Mus musculus: one gene and its partners. The protein of the gene in region 3 interacts with the protein of the main gene of each other region in a pairwise test. Links are inferred from orthologs where the notes say so. Each region holds a gene or a part of one and is shown on either strand. Other genes may lie near its edges.

Region 1 (5,809 bases), about 3.3 Mb from region 3:
ACTGATGCATTCATGGTTTAAAGGACTATTGGGAGGTGGTGGAAACTAGGAGCTGGGACTTGGTTATAGGAAGTAGGCCCTTAGGTATGTGCCCTTGAATGGTATACTGGGACTCTGAACTCCTATTCCCACCCCCTCCTCCTCCCCGTCCTCCCCTCTCCTCCCTCCTTACTGTGAGGCAAGTTCCTTTACAGTCCCATCATGGTGTTCTGCTTCCCCATAGCATCAGAATCAATAGGACCAGTGACTACAGACTGAAAACTCTGAAATCATAATCCAAAATAAATCTTTCCTCCTAAGTAGTTTCTCAGATTTTCATCACAGTAGCAGAAAGTTAACATTGTTTCCTTCCTATTCCTGTCCTCCAGATAACCAGTGCAATCAACTTTAGAGGTATCTTTACTGAGAATACTTATTTGTCCACAAATATCCCTACGTCCCTTTTCACACTACTAGACGTATCGCCCTTAGTTTCCTAGTTACTAAACAACCTGGGTCTCTCCGCAGGCAGACTGACTCCAAATAAATGTAAATATAGATGCACACACATAAAATATACATATATAATTATTTCTAATATTTGTGTGGTGAATTTGCCCAGCAAATCAGCAGATTTCTGACTCATGAACTTAAAAGAAATCAAGTGTTTTATTGAGTCAAAGGTCCTATGGTAGAGAATTTACCCATCTGACCTTGTCCAAGAATACAGTATAATCCTGTTAACCAAATACAACACATCTCCACTGTTTTATTTCCCATTTTCCTGATGATTAGTCACATTAAATATCTTATTATCTGCTATTTTTCTATTTTTGAAAAATACCCATTTAAGTTCTCTGCCCCTTTTAAAACACATATTCTAGACAGTAAGTCCTTATCATGCATATATGGTTTTAAAACATTTTCTCCCATTCCCAATGTGTCGGTTGTGTACTCTGCTGTGTAGGTGTTGGTGCTATGTAGTCTCATTTGTTTGGTTTTGCTCTTGTTGTCTGTGCTTTGGATATGACACATTAACTTTTACATCTCTTGGTGCTGTACTTCCTTTTAGGTAATGTGGTTGGGTTTTTCCCTTCATTTCCACTCCAGTGTTCTCTAGCAGGTTTGTTTAACAGTGCTGTTGGCTGACTGCTATTGGTTCCCTGATAAGACACACCCATCTACCTTCATTTTTTTTTCTGGATTTGTTCCCAAGCACAGTAATGGGAGGCCCATGTGAGAGGGGCTGTTTCGGATTGCTTTATTCCTTCCTCATTTTGAGTGGAGCTAGAAAGAATATCCTCTGAGGTGGCTTCCTTCTCTCATCTACCTTTTAAGTGTGTGTGTGTGTGTGTGTGTGTGTGTGTGTGTGTGTGTGTTGGGGGGAGGTGGTAGTCTTTGAGCCAGTGATAGGTTAAAAGACAGGCTGTATCCAGACCAATGGGAGGCTCCTGGCTTCCAAATGGATCTTATTAGGGACATTGTATTCTGGATGGCTAGCATCTGCCTCATTGTCCTCTTGGCAGTGACCCTTTTGTATTGGTCAAGGATCTGAAGGTGCAAAAGAAACCTTACCCCATACACTTTTAGTGGCTTTAATCCACCTGAACAACTTGTGCCCAAGTCCAATAGAACATTGCCATTCTCCCTTTGTCAAAAGAAAAAGGGGTTGGGTTTCCTTCAATTGTCTGCCCTTCTCTGTCTCCTCCACTATTTTTGTTTTACTCTCTAGTTAACTTTGCATACAACAGCTTCACCAGTAGGACCTGTGAGGAGGATCCAGGCACACTCTTTTCATTGGCGAGTGCAACAGCCTTCTCCTTGCTCTCATCTGGGGGTTTGTGGATGTAGAAGGGAGGTAGGTGGGTGAAGAGTTTGGCCACAGTCTTCCTTCTGCGCTTCACACACACCACCCGGTCGTGGACGCGCAAACACACACACACACACACACACACACACACACACACACACACACACGCTCGTGCGCGCCTGCTCAGGCCCCTTCTCCCTGTGTCTTCCATCAAGATGACAGGGTGCTGGAGAAAAGGCTGCTGGAATCAGCTGGTAGGTACAGTAGTAATCTGAACCCCACCCACCCACTGCCTTTGCTTGCTCGGGTTTCTCTGGTCACTCCTGCCAGGGGAGAAAACATGTAAGCGCGCCTCCAGAGGAGGGGCACGGGGAGTTGGGAGTGGCGGGGGCGGCGGAAGGTGAGCCTAGGAAGGTGGCCCAGCGCCCCTTCTGCCCGGCCCCTCCCCGTGCTCCCGTAGGGTGTCAGCCTCGGCTCTGCTTGCCCCCACTCCACCCTCCTTTCGAAGGGATTGCCTTTTTTTTCCCTCTGCTGCGGCGGAAATGACAGTGTGGTGCTGCGGTGGTGTCATGGTGCTGCCTCTGGACCGAGAGGCGAAAACTCTTTAAGTTTAGCCCGGGAGACCTAGACGCGGGAACGTCGCGGTCTCCGTGCTGTCCCCCGTGGGGCGCGCGGGCTGGCGGATCCCGGCTGTTGCGCGGCGGCGGCGGCGGCCGCAGCGGCGAAGGCGGGCGGCGGCCTAGAGTGGTGGTGGCGGCGGCGGCGGCGGCAGCAGCGACAGCGGCCCGGGAGCTTGCACGGGAGCCCGAGCCAGCTTGCTGCGGAGGCCGGCGAGCGCCCGGCGCTCCCCGGCGCGCGTAGGAGATGGCTGGCACCCGGGAACAATATGGGTAAAACGCGTCCCCTCGCCGAGGCCCGGGGGGATGGTGGTGGTGGTGGGGTGGCTAGTGTCGCCGCCCGCGCCGGGCTTGGCCCTGGCTGGCTCCTGCTGCTCTTCAGGTGCCGCCGGGGCTGGAACTGGCCGAGGACACTTGGGCTTGGGGGGGGGGGCGGCAAGAGGGGGGAGACGGGGTCCTGGCGGCAATGGCAGGGCCCCGGTTGTCTGTCACACTGTTGTGACCCGAGCTCCTGCCGCTGCCCTCCTGGGAAGGAGTTTGCACTCCTAGATCCCAGGCTGGGGACCGGCCCGAGGCCTCCCGCTTGGCCAGGCCGAGCAGGGAGAAAGCAGTGGAGCGGCTCAGCTCTCGTGGCGCCTAGGCGCAAGTCTGGGAAAGGGCGCAGCCGCCTTCCCACGCTCCCGAAATCCACGGCGTCCTCGGCCCGGGCGGCGCCCCGAGGTCGGCGGTTGGCTCAGTGGTGCTGGCGCAGCAGCCTGAGATTCTGTGGACACCCTGCGAGCGGGAACCCCGGGAGAAACTTAATTCTCCCTCCCCTTTTCCTCCCTGCTGGGGAAACGATCTTCAGGTCTCTGTCTGGGTGGTTCTTTATTTCTGGCCTAGCTGTGAAAGCAGCCCCGTGGGGGGGGGGGGGGTGGAGAGGGAAAAACTTGAGTGTGTCCATAGGACACACTGCGACTGAAGCAGGGACAGGGGAGCCTTTTCCATTCCGGGCTCATAAAAATTACTGGAACATTACTGGTTATGAGCTGGCTTGGGTTGTTTCGCACTTCACGTGCAGCATAGTATTTATTTATTTAGGAGGCATTTCGATTTAGAGGAGGAAATTAGGATCCAGGGATTGTTGGACTCTTCACTTTCCCCACTCTTCCACACTCCTTAGGTACTGTCTCTATTCAAGCCCCCACATCTCCCACCAGAGTTCCTGCACTCTCAGCTTTTCTCTGTCAACCTGTGCAATGCGGCTTCTTGCTTTTCAATCACTTTGATTTTTTTTGAAGATTTTGGAGGGTGGGGCTGCTGAATGGCATTAGTTGTGTGTCTGTCTCTAAGGAGGAGTATTTATGAAGCAAGACATTGGAAACTGTAATAGTACACAACTATTGTGTGGGGATTAATTAATCTGATTCTCGAATTGGACCACAAGAGTTGACTTTAATCCCATTCCATTTCCTCTCTGAAATCGAATCAGATCTCTGACACTATTCCAATAGAAGATGGAGTTGCTAAATGGAGAGTTTACATTCTTGCTCACTTCTGCTTGGGGAGCTTTTGCTGTACCCTAGATTCCTATCCCAGCATCCCCACCTTTTTTTAACCTCCTCCTCTCTGCTCATCACTGCCCCAAGGGAGAATCAATCTTTGCTATTTTTATATATTCCTGCTCAATCAATTAGCTTAACACAGACTCATAATATGAATTAGATTTCTCGTGATTGTTCCTTACAAAACTCGTTTCATGTGGTTGAAACACAAGCCTGGAAGCCAAGAAGATCAGAGAGTTCATTCCAGATGTGACGTTGCATTGGCTTTAAGGCCTTTAGACATTTGTATGACCTCTCTTTCACAGTTGCTTCACTTGCATAAAAGGCATAATATTGTGTACTGGGTATTGTGAGTATTGGCTTGGTCCTTTGAAGATAAAAGGATTCTATAAACCTCAGCATTATACTCTTCAATGAAAGCACTTCATTTATCCTTTATTGGGTTACTGGATTGACTGGGTATAAATGGGAACACTAATTTACAGGAACCCTAATTTGCCATTATTAGTTCCCTTGAGATTCAAATTATCATTGTAATTTAGATCTTAAGTCAATTTGTTTCATGAATGTATATGCAACTGAATGGAAACATATATACAATTAGGCATAGAAAGTAATGGTGATGATTTTAAGTCGAGTCATAAATCATATTGATTACACTTTACCCTAACAATGTGAGTCAGACTCATTTGAATATTCAACCTCACCCATTTTTTTAGTCTACATGGGGGGAGTTAGTTAATGACCAATAAAAGTAATATAGATACATTTAGGTCTGGCTATATAAGCAAAATTAGCACCTAGCAGCAGTGAGTCAATATTTTTCAAAGCACCTTTAATGTACAGAAGCCTCTGCTGTCTGTGTTGAGTGAGGACCTGCCCTTGACCCAGTATTTTGGGCTCATATTTGCCCTATGCTAAACTCTACTTACAGTTCCATGGCTCCATGGCTAGGATGCAGTCAGGGTGGGTGATGTGTGGAGTAGGGAGAGAGGGTTATGGCACATGAAGAGCTGTCTCTCCTATTTACTTTCATGACTACTGGGATTCCTGCTTAGCATGTTGTACCTTGCAAGACCACTTCTGAGAGGCACTTGCTGCAAATGAGTGGCTTGGTTGCTTCACAAACATATCATCTGAACAGCGCAAATTGACTTAGATAAAATTGGTTTGGTTAATCCCTCCTCTAAAAACAGGGCAACTTGCTCCAACCTGCAGGTCTTAAAATAGTGCCAGTGGAGTGTCATAATTGCATCCAAGCAGTGTCCTGAGTGGTGAGCCTTTCCATTCTCTCCTCCCATAAAACCTGCTGACACCACAATTAGGAAGGAAACTACAGAAGAATGCATTTTGAATCATTGGCTTGATGAAGAGTGAAGAATATTGTCTCTGGTTGTCAGGTTTTCCTTAGAAGTAGACTTTCTCTTCCTTAACATGGATGTAGAGCCCCTAAAGACAAAGACAGGGATGCGGCACACAGTTAAGTCTCAGATGGCAGTTTTTAGCGATAACTACTTGACTGTCATTCGGTCTTTATACAGCTTGCTAAATTTCTAGATGTTAGCAATGGGACTCAGCTGCTAGAGGAGGCCCGAGGGTGTCTGAGGGTGCTCCAAGTCCATTTAGTATTGACTTTTTGTCCTGTCTTCTGTGCAAAAGAAAGCTGTGTCTCTGACACGCCTCCTTAAGCAGAGGGTCCTGACTCGACACACTCTATCATTAAAGTATGAGGTATGACATGTTTATGATGGATAGAATAAGACACTCACTTAAATTTTTACAGTTATTTATTTGTGTGAATGTGCGTGCATATGAGCATGCATGTGTGCCATAGAATACAAGCAGAGATTAGAGGAAAA
Region 2 (5,955 bases), on a different chromosome or scaffold from region 3:
TAGTCAGGATATAGGTGTGTACCCACACTCACAACAGAGAACAACAAAGGTGACTTTGCTAAATTGATGCTTTTAACTTTGTTAATGTTAAGTCACAACATTCTTGCAATATTCTTTAATAAAAAGATGAATTGGGGCCAATGAGGTGGTTCCGTGGGAAAAGGCACTTGCTGTGAAAGATTAGCAACTGAGCTCAACCCCTATAAACATCAAAGCGGAGACAGAAACAACTGCAGCAAGCTTTTCTCTATGTGCTGAGGCACCTGCATGCATGCACATGTGCACATACACACACGTACAACAATAACAGTAATAAATGAAACATGGCAAAAAAATTTAAAATAAAAACAAAGAGCTAGGCGGTGGTGGCACACGCCTTTGATCCCAGCACTCGGGAGGCAGAAGCATGCAGATTTCTGAGTTTGAGGCCAGCCTGGTCTACAAAGTGAGTTCCAGGACAGCCAGGGCTATACAGAGAAACCCTGTCTCAAAAAACAAAAACAAAAACAACAAAAAAAAGAATCAGTGCTTTATATTAAATCTTGTTAAACATATAAGTGTTCTCATTTTCATGACATTTATTAAATCATTAAAACAATTACCAAAATAACACATATTGGATGTATACTAGTATAAAACACAGAAACTATGGATAATAAAATTGTAGTAACCCATAATCTCACATCCCTTTAAGAGAGCCATTGCTAACATTCTGTTTCATCTCTTGGGTTTATCTCTGTGCATATGCACTTTTTCTTCTTTAACAGGGTCTTACTATATAATCCTGCTTGGTCTGTAACACATTGTGTAGACCAGGCTGGTCTCAAACTCAAACTCATAGTGGTCCATCTGCTTCTGCCTCCCAGTACTGGGATAAAATGTGTGAGCTACCACACCAGGTTCTATTTTTGTGTAATTATTATTCTACTGTATTCGGCTCTGTATGCTCTCTTAAAAAACATTTTGTAGTGGGAGTGGATGGTAGAAAAGGGAGAGAATGTCAGGAGCTAAAGGGTTAATCTGGAAAGGAAACTGGGATGAGGGAAAGGGGAGGGTATTGAGGGCATCCTCTTCCCCATTTTAACTGGTCAATAAAGGCTGAGGCCTGTAATTGGGCAGGGGAGGGGAGAGGTGGGAGGTCTTGGAGAGTAGGGACAGGTAGAGAGGAGAAGGGAAGGGGAGAGGACTGAAGAAGAGGAGGAGCAGAACCACGTGGCCAGGAGAAACTGCAAATAGCAAAGGGTCTCGCAGCTGGGGAATAAGTTAGCACAGTGCTAGAGCTGTCCAGTCTAGGTACATAGCTTATATTTATAACTGGATTGTGTGGTTTTTATATGGGTTTATTGGGGTTGGGAACTGGTGCAAACTAAGGATGGATGAAGCCCTAGGAAACCCTATTAGCTTGTGAACCAACTAAGAATTTTATACTATCCTTCACTTGGGAAAAGGGATTGCTTGCTTATTAATTGACTTAGTAGGGCTCATCCCTTGTGGCCTGTCCATTCTCACGCAGGCGTGAACTGAGCACAAGGACAGCTGAGCCCAAGCCAGGAGGTAGCTTTAGTCTACGGTTTGTTTGAATTCTTCCCAGGACTTTCCGAAACCATGGTGATAAGCCCAGTAAACACTTCCTCTTCCAAACTGCTTTGTTCAGTTTTATCAAAGTAACAGGAAAGCTATCTAGAACACATAATCTTGATTTTACTGCTCGGTGGTATACCGCAAGAGGCCAAGGCGGCAGCCGGGCCTTCCTCTTTCCCACCCGGTCCAGCAGACTCTTTTGCGGCATTGATAAGAGGGCTGAGCCCTGAAGTTTTAAGGTGGTGGCGACTGTAAACTTGATTCTGGAGTTGATGGCTTGGTGGGCACACGTCGGACTGAGTTCCGACCCTCCCGTTGCTATGCTGGACGTCTGGGCAACTGAGACGCGATGCGGGCGACGATCCACCCAACCACCATTAGACCGACGGCATTTCCTACTCATTGTGAAGCTCGCCATTCGTCTCACTCGGCTTCTTGGGGTTCCGTTTACATCTTTTCTCAAACCTACAAGTTAGAAGTAATCTCCAGCTCACAGCGAGAGGAAGTCACCTGTCCTTCAGACTCCAGGTCACAGTCAGCGCGAGCCAATGGAGGGACTCAGGGCTGGCAGTAGTCATTGCGATTGGCTCAAGTAGACGGAAAACACTAGCTTTCCTTATTCATGCTGAGTTCTGATTGGGCGTGACATAAAATAGCTTTTCTACAGGCCAAACCTGGTGTTGCTAAGTGATAAGTCCCGCCTTCAAAGATCTTTGAGAACAGTTTTACGGGCTGTAAGGCAAATTGTGATTGGTCAGAGCGCTCACGGATGCTGTGGTAGTAAACACAGCCGGGGTCCTGGGATGGCGGATTGGTCAGATTTTCAGAACGTCACTCCTACTGTGGCCCCGCCCTCCTGATGATTGGCCATTGGAGGCCTGTGGAGGCGGTGACATGGGTACCTCACATCCGTTTACTGTAGGCCTCCGCCGGGTCCTCAAAGAACCGCGCGAACGGGCTGAAGGAGCCGGGAGCGAGGGGCGGGGCGGGCGGAAGTCACAGCCGGGGAAGCCAGTCTGGACCTTCCCGCCTCCTTCCTCAGGGTCGGTCCGAGCGGAGGAGGGCCACCGCCTCCTCCTGCGAGGAGAAGGGGGGCGGAGCCCGGCTCAGGTGAGGCGACCCTATCAGCTAGAGTGGCCTGGGCGCGCGCGCGCGGGGCGCGCTCACGTGCAGGCGGTTGTGCACCGGGAGCGCGCCGAGGCATCGGGGAGCGCGCAGCCGTTCCGGGGCCGCCTGTCCACCCTGTCTTACTGCTGAGGGGTATTGTTACCCTTCGCCTCGGTGGGGCCAGGAGGGTGGTAGCTCAGTTCTTGTGCGCAGGCGTCCCCTGTGTCCCGACGCCCGGCTGTCGGTGCGGGGTGGGCAGGGACTAGTGCCCTGCAGATCTGCTGCTGGACATGGAGCCTCTCGGGATGCTGTGGGAACCCGCGCTCGGGATCTGCATCCTAGCGGGATGAGCCGAGGAGCGGCTGCCCTGCGGGATGGAGGCGAGTGGCTCTCTTGATCCTGCCCTGGGTCCTCCTGAGCGATGAGGTTTCGTTTCATCAGAGCAAGGCCATAAGCTGTCTGGATTCGGGAGCCAGCGGCCGACGACAGGGGTGGAGTCAGCGTTTGGGAATGCCCCAACTTGTTAGACAAAAGTGTTTAGTAGGCATTTATTGAATGGCCACTTCTTCCAGGCTTCGTGCGAGGAGCTGTGGGGTGCGGTGGTAAGAGACAGCGGTCCCATCTTCCCCTGGAGGACCGACTGCTTAGCACATAAACAACAGTAGAAATAAGGGAGCGGTTTAAGGGTTTCTGCTTTGTTTTGTTTTTCTAAAGTGCCACTTACTATGGTCAGTCTGCGTCCGAGCATCGTGGCGAACACTGTAGGAACCACATTTTGGTTATTTTTATTTTTGGAGGAAAATTTTTGGGTCAAAGACTCTTGATTACCTTAGTAGCGTGATCTGAGTCTAGGTAATTAAAATTAATAAAATTCGCAATTTTCAAGGACTGAAAGAAAAACATTTCCAAAATATGTTCTTGTACTGCTGAGTTGAATTTACATACATTTAGGTTTTTAGAGATTGAAGGGAATACTGTGCCTTACTCGTTCGTGATTTGTCTTTGTATGACATGTGTACTTTATATGGTTTTAAAAAGTGGACCGGGCACTTCGTTAGTTTGCTAGAGATTTTTGCTTTCATTTTCTGAAAAGTCTCGTGGTTGGCAGTAAGCTAAAGGCTTACTGGGTAGGGGAAAGGAGATGGGCAAAAGAGAGTGTTAAGAGAAAAGCTTGCAAGCTAAAGGAAGGCCACTTTAACCCTTCTGGAAATCTCAGCGAGCTTGGGAAGAGGAGAGACAGAGCTGGCCTCTGCTGCAGCCTTGGTGACCCGCCAGGTAAGGTCAATAGATCGAGGGCTCATTCTGGGCACTGGGGTTTTGCTAAGTAAATGGAAGTAGGACTTTGTGAGAAGTCTGTTTTCGGAAGATTTGCTTTTTTTTCCCCCTTCCCTAAAAGTTGGGTGAAAACAAAACTTTTTTTTTGTCTGCTGGGGTGCTGGCCGTTTTTTATTCTAGATGTGTTTCCAGCAGAATTCTGCTGAATTGATGAGTAATGAGATTTTGGGGAAAAGCATTTTAAAGAAGGGGTGTTTCCCTAATTTTAAGGGTCAGTGTGTTCAGAAGAGACTACTCTAGACTATCCAATTAGAATTAAATTTAATTAGAATTTTTTAAAAAATTATTTGGACAGCAAAATGCACTTTTTAGTATTTAAAGTTCTTAACATTAGTTCCATCCTATTAAAAATCCTGTGCTGAGTGAGCGGCAGACGGTGCCTCCGTGCTGATAGACTCCTGAGTCAGCCTCCAGTTTTCCTAAGAAAGGGGGAAAAAAAGAACCCAAAATACAGCTTCCATGTTAACTTGCAACTCAGCTGATTTCTCAGAATGTAAATTAGCTGTAAATGCGTTTTCCTTGTGTTAGTTGTGAGCATGTGTGCTGACTGCACCTGCCCTTTATTAACAGGGATGCTATCTGCTGACTCCCTCGGTGTGGCAGGTGGGATGGGGTGCGAGCAGCACCACACTGTCTGTCTAAGGTGACTTCCTATGCTTAAAGACCAGACGCTTAGAATTCCTGCTCCTTACTGTTTCCTGGGCATGCCTTGGGGTTTTAGGTATCGTTCTTGTGGCTAAAAAGTTTTTATTATGGCAACTGGAGAGATGGCTCAGTGGTTAAGGGCAGTACCTGGTCTTCTTTTGATGCCAGCACCCACATGGTAGCTCACATTTGTAACTCCAGTCCCAAGGGATCTCACACCTCTTCTGGCCTCCCCATGCACATGGTGCATAGACAGACTTGCAGGCAGCTGAACGACCAAGCCAGCTCAGTCAGTCGGCGAGGCTGAAGCGGCTTTATCTTTTTCCCAGCCTGCTTTTATATCATTCTAGGCTCATCCAGACACATGGTCAGTTCTTAGATCAAAGACAAAGGAATAAAGCGAAGTAGTAAGCAAAGAGATCACGCAAGGTGGTAATCAAGCAAAGCAGTCAGCAAAGCCCCATGGTCACTGTTTCTGATATTCTTATCTGAGCCTACTTCCTGGTCGGATCCCAGTGAAAAATGCCAAAGTCCTAGAAGTGGCACCAAAAGATCTCAACAACTGAAGGAAATGTTTTCAAAAGCTTTTGTTACTGGCCCAAACAGACTAGGAATTATGTTGGAGTACTGACTTGATTGTAACATAGAAAAGATGATAGGATCTTAGTATTCCAGTTTATTTTATCTGTAGATAACTTTCCTTTTGATCTCCTATCATACTTGAATACGTTATGGTTCTAGTAGTTCAATTCTAAAACTTAAGTTTAAAAAGTAATTTGTTAGCTGGGCGTGGTGGCACACGCCTTTAATCCCAGCACTCAGGAGGCAGAGGCAGGCAGATTTCTGAGTTCGAGGCCAGCCTGGTCTACAGAGTGAGCTCCAGGACAGCCAGGGCTATACAGAGAAACCCTGTCTCAAAAAAACCAAAACAAAAAAAGTAATTTGTTTATATTTATGATGGTTTGTATATTTTCGGACCAGGGAGTGGCACCATCTGGAGGTGTGGCCTGGTTGGAGTAGGTGTGTCACTGTGGGTGTGGGCTTAAGACTCTCATCCTAGTTGCCTGGAAGTCAGTCTTCCACTAGCAGCTTTTGAATGAAGACATAGAACTCTCAGCTCCTCCTGCGCCATGCCTGCCTGGATACTGCCATGCTCCCACCTTGATGATAATGGACTGAACCTCTGAACCTGTAAGCCAGCCCCAATTAAATGTTGTTTTTTATAAGACTTGCCTTGGTCATGGTGTCTGTTCACAGCAGTAAAACCCTAAGACAGAAGTTGGTAAC
Region 3 (5,778 bases):
AATACAACAGAATGATTAGAGATCACAGAAGTTCAGGTCTACAGTTCTAACGAGAAGGAAGTCCTAGATGAAGGACTTTATGGAAGGATAATAATGCTCTTATCTTCCTTCAATATATTCCATAAGTGTTAAGTCCAGGTAGAAGTGGTGGTTGGTACATGTAATTTTAGTATTTTGTAGGCTGAAGCAGGAAAATTATCATATTTTTATGGCTAGCCCAGACTATTATAGTGAGTTCCAGGTCAGCAAGGGTATAGAATAAAATCCTATCTCGAAAAAGTGAATAGAGGGAGACTTAATCTCCTTCAGGAATGGGATAATCACGACCTCATCACTTCACCAAAGGACTTACCTCCTAATATTTTCACCTACAGCCACCACCTAAAAATTAGTACGATCAGAATTTGAACGCAGGTACTCTGGCTCCAAAGTCCTTTTATACTTTCCTATTCTAAGGTCCCACTGATACTGACCTCTGTTCAGTTCCCAAGATCTGTCCTGCAAGCCAAGATTATAATTATACTATGTTTATTTCCATAGCTTTATAATTAATCTTAGTAGTTTAACACTTGATTTAATCGATCAGTCATATTAGCTATAATCCAAGCTTTGTGGTCTTTCATTTCCATTTTACATATTTTGGCAATTTAATAAAAAAATTTTTTGGGCTTTTTCTTGAAATGTATAGATGACGTTCGGGGAAGACTGATATTCTTATCGCCGCACATCTTTGAGTCTTACTGTGAGCATGGGCTGAATCCCTTTCTCCCCATAACCAGTAGCTGCCAGTATCTCCTTAGCACGCTGAAGCTCCTTACCCATCCACAATGGAATGCTGAGGTACTGGTCTTATTCAATTAATAACAGCTACTATGAGTTCATGATCGCTGTGTCCAGAAGAACCCCCCCCTCCCACTTTGCTCCAGCTCTTACATTCTTTCATTTCCTTCTTCAATGATGAGTCCTGAACCTAGGAGAGGATGATAAAATGTCCCACTTAAGGCTGAGCGAGTGTTCAACAGCCACTCATTCTCAGCACATGGACCAGGTATGAGTCTCTTTGTTAACTGTTTACAGCTGCAAACAGACTTTTCTTTGACCATGACTGAGAAACCCTAACCTTTCGCTAATCTTTAATCTATTAGGTAGAAACACAAACATTTAGAAGGTAGTTTGACACCATGTCTATTGAGCCAAACAACAGTAATCAGTTTCTCCCTAGAGCCTATGACCTCCAAAGACATAGTAGCTTTTAACCAGTTGTATAGAACCAGAAGATTCCACTCTACGGACTAGACCTCAATTCCCAATCTTTAAAACACACTTCCCTTCTTAGGTGCTGCTTTCCCTTTTTTGATGTCTACACACACACACACACACACACACACACACACACACACACACACACACACACTATAAGCTAAAGTCCCATATGAAAGAAAGAAAATAAATCCTTTTGTCTCTCTCAGCCTCGGATACTTCACTCAGTATATCATTTTCGGTTCCACACAATTTCTTGCAAATCTCATAATTTCACATTTTACTGATGGGTGATTAAAATCATGCATATATCTTGCATTTTCATTACCCATTCATCTGTTAACAGACATCTGGGCTGTTTCTATTTTCTGGCTTTTGTGAATAGAGCAGCCATAAACACAGATATGCAAGTGTCTCTATGGTAGGTTATAGTCTCCTTTGGGTATATGCCCAGGAGTGGGAAGGTGAAACATTAACCAATGTTTTACATCAGTCTAAAATGTTTTGGAGTCATGCTGGGCCTAGAGACCTAAGTGCTGGCAAATTCTAGTAGCCAAGAAGCAGAACAGAGGCTGAAAATTTTCAGCAAATGAGAGGTCAGCCTGGGCTACACAGCGAGTTCCAGAACAACTATCACTATAAAGCTGGACCCTGACTCGATAAAACAACTGAACAAAAACTTGGAGAAGTGCCACTTTTCAATTCCAGCCTTCATGATTCCTGCAACTATTTTCCCGTGTACTGTCAATTTACTATTCCTGCTGACTTCGTTTAAAAAACAACCAGTGTTGGATGCATGAGCCGAAATGTTAAAAAATTTACATATTTTTTATTTTCTTTGAAGAAGATAAAAAGAGGAGATCTGTAATTTCTAAGAAACTTGATTTGGCCTGCTGAGTCCAGCCACTAGGCAGAAGGTTTTAGCCAAGTAAAATTGCCAATTTTCTAAGAGAAAGGGCTAGCACATTGCTCATTAGAGCATTCTGAGCTTGCCTGTGCAATCTTTTTTTTCCTACCCTGCAATTTCCTGTGCGTTATAAACGAAACCTTTCTAGCTGTTAATGCAGGCTGTGAATTGAAGAAAAAAAAGCATGTAATTAATCATAGGAGGTTGGGGGTGTTCGCTAAGCTTCAGTTACAGGGGAGAAGCTGGACAAGGCACTAGGACCTAGAAGGCAACTATCCACCCTGGCAGGAATTTCTTGCTTGGAGCTCAGACAACAAAGGCATAGAGAGATTGGTTTTCTTTCTCTCAGCATCTCCACCCAACCAGCAGAAAACCGGTGAGTGGGGCTTTCGAGTGATTTTCAAGCAGAATGTAACAGATGTCAACCGGGAAAGCACAAGGCACACGGCTTTCTTTCTCTGTGTGTTCGCCTCTTTCTTCTCTTTTATTTGCCTTATTCTATAGGATTTTTGTCCTCTAAGATTCTACCTGGGATTTTCCTTTGGAAAAGTGAGTTTGTTGTTCCTTTGTTTTCACTATGATGCTAATTTAGAATAATAGCACTTCTGATTCTAAAGCATAGCTTTATTTGCACAGCCTGCCTGGGGAAAATGCTTGCTACTCATCTTGAGGAGGTGGGCTCTTACTACTGCAGGTTGTCTGACAGAGACAATGCTGAGCTCAGCATAGGTCATGGTGACACTGGAAAAAAAGGGGGTACTGAGCCTGGCAAATATACCAACTACCAGTCCTCCTTTATCTCCTTTCTCCCTGGTTTCTTGCAAATCTCGATGTGGCAGTATATATATAGCAGCTGAGCCCTCTTGCTTTGTGAGTCTTTTTCCCCCCATTTGTGAGATGAATGTTAATAGTTTGGTTTCTTGGATGTCACATTACCTTTGTAAGGGGTTAGGGCTTTGGTTGTATTATTGGGTTGCATGTTTTCATTGTTTTGGACGTTTTTTTTTCTGGTGGGGGACGGGTTCAGGGGGGTTGAAATCCAAGCTTGACAGATGACTTTTTTTTTCCCTCCATCAATACACCTAAGCAATAGACAAGTTTGAAGTGAATTGCCTGCTTCGAGGGCAAAATATTCCTTCAGTCAGGGGAGAAACCCAGAACAATGAAAGGTGTACCTACTTGGAAAGGTCCCATGTGCTATTCAGGGACCCATTTGGGAATCTTTCCACAATTATTCCATTAAGAGGTGTTGCTGCATTCATTGGTCGGGGAGGGGATGAAACACCTGAAAGGAGAAAAAGGATTCTGTGATCAAATGGAAATGAAAGGGAAGCAGAGCTAATAGCTTGCTAAATAACTGGGTTTTTTCGACAATCCCTCCCCCTTTTAGACCCCAGCTTATTTCTTATGGATGCCGTATAGCGGCACCAGCTTGATGGGGAGAGGGTTTGATGAATAGCACAAAGGCACTGGGTATTCCCTGGAGGCTGTCCCTTTAAAAGAGAATCCTAGTTTATTCTGGGGGAGGGGATACACATATTAGAGCAGGCAAAAAAGGACAAGGAATAAAAGTAATTCACCCCCTTCCTAGCCATTGTATTGAGATGCAAAGGCTGCTTCCTACAGGAGGGTGCTAACCTTGGCTAGCTCCCTCTGTTTCTCTTTGAGGGAATTTAGTCAGGCTATGGATTCATTTACAACTGTTAGTCATGTGGCCATGTGTGAAGGAGCAGATGCCAGTTTTAATGTATTTTGCCCGAAGTTACAATTTGATAGGAGCCACTGTCAGGAAGCTCCAGGTTTTTAAGCTATTTCAACACGCCCTCCCCAAATTGGAACAGTGCCAAAAGTGCCACCCTTTCTATCTCTTCCTCCTATCCCCCTCCCCACCATTCAGTCCTCAGCCTACTGCCCAGCCCCCTCCTTCTTCTCTATTAAGATCAATATTCCTGCAGGTCAGGGACAAGCAGCAGATGGGTCACAGGCTTTTTTCAACCAGTTCTTTTCACAGGCAGCAGATTGCAGCTCTGGATCTGGCTAATATTTTAATTCTCCCCCCTCCCTTATCCATCCTTATTCTTTGCCTCTCCTTATCTCCACCCTTTTCTCTAACAATCAGGTTGCTGTGGTTCCACCAAAATATGGAACTTGATTTTGGACATTTTGACGAACGAGACAAAGCATCTAGAAATATGAGAGGGTCACGGATGAATGGACTTCCAAGTCCCACTCATAGTGCCCACTGTAGCTTCTACAGAACCAGAACCTTGCAGGCATTAAGTAATGAGAAGAAGGCCAAGAAGGTACGTTTCTACCGCAATGGGGACCGTTACTTCAAGGGGATTGTGTACGCTGTTTCTTCTGACCGTTTTCGTAGTTTTGATGCGTTGCTGGCTGACCTGACCCGATCCTTGTCTGACAACATTAACCTGCCTCAGGGAGTGCGCTACATTTATACCATTGACGGATCCAGGAAGATTGGAAGCATGGATGAACTGGAAGAAGGTAATTCAAGTAGTGAGTAGTGGGGTGGTGGCCCCTAGAGGGAAAGGACATCCTCGCTTATGGTTACATTTTTAGTCTTCCTTGAAAGAAACTAGGCTATTTGTTTGCTAAAACATCAAGTTGACTGATGCTCAGGCTTCTGATCCCAAAGTCACCACCAGGATCCTTAACTGTCATTCCTCATGGGGTTCCATCTCTGCTGAGGTTGACATGAATATGGGTTTTCTAATGCTAAATGTGCTTATCTACCTGGGTATACAAAGGAAACTCTGAATTGTGACACTCACTCTAGGTGTTGTTTATGGGTAACTCTGTATAGCACCTTCAAAGCAGGCCATGAAACCATTAGGGGAAAGAAGAATGTATGGTTGGTTTAACAGATAAAAAAATGTGCCCAAGTGTCCTATGGACTACTGATAAATTATTTGGGAATTGCCATTCATTAGAAATACGTACCCCAATGTAGGAATTCCTAGATGTGTTCACAGAGGATTAGACTTTTAGGTAAGTGGTTGCGGCTCAGCTGTTGCTTTGGAAAAAACTCACTTAAGGGCGTGTCCATGAGGCTGAGATCATTGGGAGAGATACGAAAGAAAGCTGTAGGTATGTCTGGTATTTTAATGAACACCATTTCTATTAAAGTAGGAATGAGTCACTCTGCCTAAATCCTTTCAGATCATCTCTAGACTTTGGAATTGCTACTGAATTTTGTGTGTTAACCACTGGAAACCATGTAATAACAGAAAAATTCCAGATTTTCCACACAACTTGTTCAACCATCTTATCTTTTCTTAATGGATATTTGGAAAATAGATTTGGGGTCATAGTGTTAATATTTTATGCTGCCATATAAATTATCTTGATCAGTTTAACCCATATGTACTGTAAAGGATAGCTTCAAGGAAAGAGAAACAGCACATTTGGTGACTTAGCAGAGTACCCCAGCTTTTAGGCTTCCTATGCTACTAGACAAAGGAACATAAAGGTTTCCCTTATGCAACATACTAGTTCCCTCATGTAGTTGTTGTTTTCAAAGCACCTGTGTAACATGGTTTGGTCAGGCACCTTATAAGACACAATGTTCACATAGTGGTTCTTTCTGAGTC

What was found. The genes of interacting proteins can lie anywhere in the genome.
Region 1: the proteins of Dcx (region 3) and Mid2 interact in binary tests that used the Homo sapiens proteins (3 or more experiments, as listed by UniProt). The two-hybrid records come from large-scale screens. The link is inferred for Mus musculus from reciprocal best matches to the Homo sapiens genes DCX and MID2.
Region 2: the proteins of Dcx (region 3) and Zbtb5 interact in binary tests that used the Homo sapiens proteins (3 or more experiments, as listed by UniProt). The two-hybrid records come from large-scale screens. The link is inferred for Mus musculus from reciprocal best matches to the Homo sapiens genes DCX and ZBTB5.

Annotation. Positions count from the first base shown.
Region 1 is NC_000086.7:140,662,600-140,668,408, forward strand, and holds the start of Mid2 (probable E3 ubiquitin-protein ligase MID2), read left to right. Parts: upstream 1-2,356; 5' UTR 2,357-2,675; coding exon 2,676-2,679; intron 2,680-5,809. UniProt on the Homo sapiens protein: E3 ubiquitin ligase that plays a role in microtubule stabilization. Mediates the 'Lys-48'-linked polyubiquitination of LRRK2 to drive its localization to microtubules and its proteasomal degradation in neurons.
Region 2 is NC_000070.6:45,008,960-45,014,914, reverse strand, and holds the start of Zbtb5 (zinc finger and BTB domain-containing protein 5), read left to right. Parts: upstream 1-2,502; 5' UTR 2,503-2,691; exon of another isoform or gene 2,692-3,963; intron 3,964-5,955. UniProt on the Homo sapiens protein: May be involved in transcriptional regulation.
Region 3 is NC_000086.7:143,929,835-143,935,612, reverse strand, and holds the start of Dcx (neuronal migration protein doublecortin), read left to right. Parts: upstream 1-2,393; 5' UTR 2,394-2,543; exon of another isoform or gene 2,544-2,716; intron 2,717-4,286; 5' UTR 4,287-4,308; coding exon 4,309-4,672; intron 4,673-5,778. UniProt on the Homo sapiens protein: Microtubule-associated protein required for initial steps of neuronal dispersion and cortex lamination during cerebral cortex development. May act by competing with the putative neuronal protein kinase DCLK1 in binding to a target protein.